Linked DNA regions of Ovis aries. The protein of the gene in region 1 interacts with the protein of each later gene in a biochemical or structural test. Links are inferred from orthologs where the notes say so. Each region holds a gene or a part of one and is shown on either strand. Other genes may lie near its edges.

Region 1 (2,565 bases):
GTGGGCTAAGTTTACTATACTGGTCTTAGATATAAAAGGTCACATTTGAATTTACTTAAAGTCAGAACTCATAAGAGGGGGCGAAAAGGCCTTAAATATAAAAGACAAACAGCAGTTTGATTAAGCAATAATTTTCAGTTTACTAGATGAAACAGACTTGCAACATAGTCTGCATGAATGCAAAATAAGCCATCTACAGCAAGTGATAAGGAAACTGGGCAAAAAGGAAAAAAGCATACATTGGAAAAGAAGATTCTCTCGAGATAAAAAAATCAAACCATTATTATAAAGGAATTTACCAAGAACTGCTATATTTCCCCCATCCCATTTGCTGGAAGTCAACAAGAGCATCTAGCACTTTGTGTTCATGTCAAAAAGTCAGATCAGAGCATCCTAACGCAAAGCAAAAAAAGAAAGAAAATCCCTAACCCCCTCCCCCAAACCGCAGAACTGTAACTCCAGAGTTCAAATTCAAAAGAAGAGAAAGTGGCAATTGAAAGAGGTGATGGTGGCGATAATCCTATGAATGGGTTTTTGATTTCTCTCCTTTCCGGGGGATGGGTGGAGAATGCTCATTAGGATTTGTAGTTAGAGGTTAACCATGTGAGCCCCTCATAGAGTCCGTCCCCCGAGGTGGCACAGGAGGGCTGCACATACCAGTTCCTGTCCCGAATCCGGGTCAGGCCCAGTTTCTCCTGGATCTCGTGGGGTTTCATGGCATCGGGGAGGTCCTGCTTGTTGGCGAAGATGAGGATTATGGCGTCCCTCATCTCCCGGTCATTGATAATGCGGTGCAGCTCCTGGCGGGCCTCGTCGATGCGGTCGCGGTCGGCGCAGTCCACTACGAAGATCAGACCCTGGGTCCCGGTGTAGTAATGCCGCCAGAGCGGCCGGATCTTGTCCTGGCCGCCCACATCCCATACGTTGAACTTGACGTTTTTGTAAGTCACCGTCTCCACGTTGAAACCCACAGTGGGGATGGTGGTCACCGACTGGCCCAGCTTCAACTTGTACAGGATGGTTGTCTTGCCGGCCGCGTCCAGGCCCAACATGAGGATCCGCATTTCCTTGTTCCCGAAGATCTTAGATAGCACCTTCCCCATCGCGTCGGAAGAGCCGGGGCCGGGGGCATTCAGGTGTCCCGGGTCCCCTCCGCCAACAACGCCGCCGCAGCCGCGAAACAGAAACGGAGCCTCCCAGTCGCGAGGGCGCCCGTGCGGCCTGCGTGGGAGTCGCCTCCTCTGGGCAGAGGCCCGGGCCCGCCGCTCACTCGGGCATCACCCACCACACAACTTGATTCCTCCAGGCGCCGCGGCCGCCGGGCGCTGAGTCTGCGCCGGGAGAGCCGCCGCCCTGCTGAGGCGCGGCCCGGCCCGGAACTGCCCTTCCCCCCGCAGGCGCCGCGCGAGCGCCGCCGCGGTTCCCGCTCCTCCGCCTTCTCCTGGAAGACTGCGGCCCTTCGGCCCGGTCCCCGGTCCGCGAGCACCGCGCTCACCACCGACCCAGGCCACCCGAGAGGCAGCGCGGCTCTGGCGCCCGGTCAGGTCATAGATCCTCGCGGGAACTCGGTGCGCTGCCTGCGGAGACACAGAGAGGGAAAAAGGAGTTACTGCGGGAGCCCCAGCGGAGAGTGGAAGCCGAGGGGGCCCGCCTCGTCAGCTCAGCCCAGGAGGTTACCTCCAGCCGCCGCCCCGCGCGCGGGCTCCCTCCGGCCTCCACAGCCTCCTCCCAGTTCTGCCGCTGCCGCCGCCGGAAAAGGCGCCGAGGAAACCGCCTCACTTCCCCTCCCGACTACGCAGGCGCAACAGAGGGAGTCCAACCGTTCGGGCAAGAGCGACCTCTGTAAGGAGAGCGGCCCGCGCGCCAAGCGTCGGGGCGCCACGCGCTGGGGGCGGGGCTACGGCGGCCCGGAGGTCTCGCGGGTGCGGCCAACCCGCACCCCCGCGAACCTGGGACTCTGACTAGCTCCCACCTGTCTGTCGCTCCTCTAGCGATTCCTTCCTCTATGCGTTCCTTCTTCTGCGCTCTCACTTCCTCCACTCCCAACTCGATCCAGGGGAGCTGATCCTCTACGGAGCTCCAAGGGGTGGGGCTCACGGACCGCCCGCTCCCCCAACGAACGCCTTCCCCGTGCTCCTTCCAGGCCTGTTCGCAGACCCCGATACCTGCCTGATGCTCCGCGAGGTCCCTCCAGCCTGCCGCAGCCTTCGGGAGCCCTCAGTCTCCCAGGGAAGCCGTAGCCACGGTTTTTACCTTTCCCCTGGCCCTCTTTGGCTTCCTTTTATCCCTCGTGTTCTGTGCGTTTCCTGAAAGACACGTGGGAGGCAAGTGGTTCGCGTGGAATCTGCCAGTCAGTGCGGCGCTTTTACTGGGCTTCGGTTTGTTCTCAAGCCCGTCTTTGGGGCATTTGAGCCCAATCTCAACACATCTCGGCAGGACCAGTCCACGTTTTTGTTTTGTGTTTTTTTAATTACAGTATTATCAACAGTTTCCATGCTTTTTCAGCTTTTTAGGAGGTGATAAATTTTCATGTATAAATATTATCATCTTTTAGTGTAATTAATA
Region 2 (4,233 bases), on another chromosome or scaffold:
AAGACAGCAACAGATCACAGATCAGTACTGGGCAGGAGCCTGGATTTTATAGGCAGATGCTTCATTTCACGGGTGTGAGACAGGTCCAGGGGGCTGAGGTATTTGCCCAGATCACAGAGCTAATAGGAAGCAGATGTGGAAAGAAAACCTAGAGTTTCCTCATTCATTTACTCCTTTTCCATGAGAGGAAAGGGACTTTCCTTTGTTGTCTACCGGGAGGCATGTTTTGGAACGGTCTGTAAGGAAACAGACTGCTGAGAAGGGTCACAACTCCCCCTGATGGAGATATTCCCTGACATTTCAGGGGCATTGCCAGGACCTTGGGCTGAGCTCTTCTCCCGCAGCACCCCCAGTACAGCACATTGTGCTAGGGGGTCCAGGGTCATGCCCCCCAGGAGGGTCCTGGACCATCCCTGTGTGATCCTTCCAAATGACACACTTATAATTTTTATGTGTAGCACCAAATCAAGAAAGAGCATATCCATCCAGGAACAAGTAAAAAAGCAGCATTTTCGTTTATTTTTCTGAATTAAAAATTGGTGATGTCCCCACCTCCAGGTGCAGAACTACTGCCCAGGCTCCTCAAAGGGCAGCTCAGTCTAACCAGTGGGTGGGGATTGGTCGGTCAGCCCAGTGCAGGCAAATAAAACATGTAAGGCACAGCCTAGAAACGTATGAATCCAACAGTCGCAGGAATCAAGGTCACCAAAATCCTGACATGCTGTGAGGCTGAGGTGCCTCTCTTTGAAATTTGATCGGGGTACATTCAGAGGACAAAGAAAAGGAAGTATATAAAGGCAATGAACTCATGACATTCACGGTGCTAAGGTTCAGACTGCAGAAATAATGAACTCAAAATATTCTGGTATTCGGCCAAGGACTAGCAGGACCTGTGAAACTAACGTCAGCGAGGACCACCCTGCCCTTGAGTGGCCGGACACGACCTTGGTACCTCTGTGGGCGGCTGGGCTCTGGTCTGTTTCCCAGGCCTGCGCCACCCTTAGGAAATCCGAAACCTGCTGGGCCCCCGGAGGCGGCCGAGGCGGGGCCTCGGGTTGGGGCGTGGTCAGAGGCGGGGCCTCGGCGCCCGGGGCCAGCCAGAGGGGCGGGGCCTCGGCGGGCGCGCGTACGCAGTCCTGGGCAGAGTAGAGGACGCGGCCCCAGGGGTGCGCGCGCGGGCGACGGGGGCGGGGCCGCAGGCCCGGGGGCGGGGTCTGGGCGGGCGCGCGTGCGCAGGCGCGGGTCGGGAGGCGGCCGCGTGCTGGGCTCTGTGTGTGTGTGTGTGCGCGCGCGCGCAGGCCGCGGGCGGGGCGCCCCGCGGGGGACGAGGGGCGGGCGGCGGGCGGCGGGCTTGGGGCCGGGGGCGGGGCTCTGAGACTCGCCGGGCGAACGGGGCCGGGAGCTGCGGGACCTGGGGCGAGCGGCGAGCCCAGGCGCGGAGCCTGGCGCCGGCACCATGGACGAAGACGACAGCTACGGTCAGTACGGCCCTCGGTCCGGCCGGCGGACGCCCCCTCCCTTCCTCCCTTCACCGGCCCGGCGCCTTGGCCGCGCCTCAGGCGACTCACGTTTCCCGGGGACTGTGGTGCCGGACGCGAGCCGGGCGGGGCGGGGGCCTCCTCAGGGCAGGGGGCACCGGGGGCCCCGAGTGTTAAAGGCTGAGGGGTGATGAGGGGCCGACGTCGGGGTGCACGGGTCTCGGGGGCCGGCGCTGGGGGTCGCCGGGCTCCAGTCTCTGGGGCCGCAGTCGTAGGACCGGGGTCTCGGGGCCTGAGTCTCCGAGGCGGAAGTCCTCCAGGGTGAGGGTCTGTCTCGAGGCCGGGGTCTAGGGCGGGGTTCAGAGGAGGGTCTCGGGGTCCGGGTCTCGGGCGGGGGTCTCGGGCCGCTGTCCCGCGCAGGCCCAGCCTCCCCCGCGAACGCTCAAGTTCCCCCGGCCGTTCTCCGTAGTTTCCGGCCCCTTCGGTGCTGGCAAGTTATGTACCCTGGTCCATGTCTTTGTTCAGAAACAAAAATGAGAAAACACAGGCAGCGAACCCCGAGTGGACAGGCTGCCACCTGACGGTGCCGTCGGGGCCGGGATCTCCTGCCGCCGGCCACCCCAGGGTCCGAGGCTGACCGCCTCTCCGCGGAAACGGGGCTGCTGTTCCCCCAGCGCCTGCGGGGCGAGCCCGAGGGGCGCCGAGAAACCCAACTTTGCCTTCTCATCTGTGCCCAGAGACGCGGCACAGCCCTCACGCCACACCGACAGCGAACGCTTGACAAAACTACCCGTTTCCAAAGCCTCCTTCTGCTGACCTCACCTGGGAACTGTTGGCCATCCGCAGGGCATTCGTCTGTCAAATGGCTTCAGATTGCCAGGCTGGCAGAAGGCTATGTGGAATGCTTTCGTTAATTTATTTAACGTTTTATTCCCAAGAGATGAAAGAATGGCAGATAGAACAAGTGGTGAAGTTTTGTGGTTTGGTAAGCAGAGTACAGACAGCAGTTTGAAATGCTTGTGTGGCTTAGTGGAAGCGAATCCGCTTTCTTGACTAAGTGACATAGGCGACGTTTGTTTCTTAAGCTCTGAGGGAGCAAGCTTTGTTGTGGGGTATGTTAAAATGTGAAAGGTGAAGCACCTTGTTACTTTTCTGTTTGTTTACGAGTAAGTCATTGAGGAACCACTGACCGCAATAGGTGGGTTTATGACCCACAGTGGCAGACAGGGGAAAGGCCAGAGCACGTGGGATCGGTGTCCATCAGATGTCCCCTGGTTACCTTCCAAGTAAAAGCAGTGTGTGCTTTTCCTCTGTGATTGAAAAAAGAGAAAACACCCACGATTGATCCCAAAGGACTTTTCAGCCCCACTTAGGTGTCTGTTTCTGCCCACCCAGGAGAAGCCTTCTCCAGCTTTGCGTGCTCCTGTACCATCTCTTGCTGTTTAATCCAGGCTTTCTTCATGCCCTCTCCTGGTGGTCTTACCCACCGCTCGAGGCAGGAAGCTGTTGGTCTGGTTGCTTTGAACACAATGACTGCTTTGCCACCAGGCATGGCATGAATTCGTGCTCAGAAAGGGTGAATGGAAGCAGGGTGTATTTGTTTCCTGTGGCGGCTGTAACAGATTGGCACAAACAACATAAACTTGTTATCTTACAGTTCTGGAGGTCAGAAGTCCAAATTTGGTCTCACTAAGCTAAAATCAAGGTGTTTACTGGGCTGTGTTCCTTTCTGGAGGTCCTAACAGGAACATCTGTTTCCTTGCCTCTTCCAGCTTCTAGAGACTGCCCCCGTTCCTTGGCTGCTGGCTGCCTTCCACCTTCAGAGTCAGCAGGTAGCATCTTCTCAGTTCTGTCTGGCTTCTGCCTCTTCTAGTTAGGGCTCTGTGACGCCATTGGACCCACCTGATAAGGATAAGGATCAGCAGCCTTAGTTCTCCAATGGTAACCCCCTTTTTGCCACGTAGGGGCGGCGTGTTTCCAGGTTCTGGGATTAGGACAGGGCTATCTCTGGGGCCCATTATTCTGCTGACCACACATAAAGATGAGGAAGAAGTTGTTCTTTTCTTTCTGTTTGTACAATTAAAAAAAAAACATATTCTTCGTATATTGGAGGAAGCAGAAAGGTTGATTTAAAGATTTCCCCCACTCATTGGGTTTACCACACAAAAAGTACCTAATGGTTCAAGATGATCATAACAAGAAAAAGGTTCCTAGTTCTTTTTAAGGTTTGCCTCAGTCTCCAGAACTTTCCATTTCTCTCCTAGGTTTTACAGAGAATTTACCTCAAAAGATAAGACAACTATTCACATTCCACCTTTCAAACTAAAGTGGGTGCTGTGGACTCAAACAGTGCATAGAATGCCAGGTCCAGGGGGTTCCCTCGGAACCTCCATTGGTGGTTCATGAGTCAGCCTAGGTCACTACCATGATTTTTTAACATTGTATCTTTGGGGACAGGGTTTATGATTTCCATGCTATCACCTTGCTAGATAAAACCTTTGAAGCATAACTCATTTATAATAAGCTAAAGAAAGAGAATGTGTCTTAGAGTTTCTCTGTTCAACGAAAGAGAATTTTGAAAACTCACCAGAAGGCTTTTCCTAACTGCATACTCTTTGATGTTCTGTGCTGACCCAGAAACCACACCACTGAGTTCAGCAGCCCTTTCTCTTGTTCACTCCCTGTGATCCTGAGTTGTTTATTTGGTCTAGTTGTAATGCACTAGATCCATACAGCATAGTTCAAACTACACATG

Evidence for each region. The genes of interacting proteins can lie anywhere in the genome.
Region 2: the proteins of ARF6 (region 1) and CYTH1 form a complex in vitro, tested with the Homo sapiens proteins (2 studies listed by BioGRID and IntAct, with this or other methods). The link is inferred for Ovis aries from reciprocal best matches to the Homo sapiens genes ARF6 and CYTH1.

The regions. Positions count from the first base shown.
Region 1 is NC_056060.1:41,107,225-41,109,789, reverse strand, and holds ARF6 (ADP-ribosylation factor 6), read right to left. Parts: upstream 1,104-2,565; coding exon 576-1,103; downstream 1-575. UniProt on the Homo sapiens protein: GTP-binding protein involved in protein trafficking that regulates endocytic recycling and cytoskeleton remodeling. GTP-bound form plays an important role in the transport of multiple palmitoylated proteins form the Golgi to the plasma membrane.
Region 2 is NC_056064.1:52,903,810-52,908,042, forward strand, and holds the start of CYTH1 (cytohesin-1), read left to right. Parts: upstream 1-1,375; 5' UTR 1,376-1,456; coding exon 1,457-1,478; intron 1,479-4,233. UniProt on the Homo sapiens protein: Promotes guanine-nucleotide exchange on ARF1, ARF5 and ARF6. Promotes the activation of ARF factors through replacement of GDP with GTP.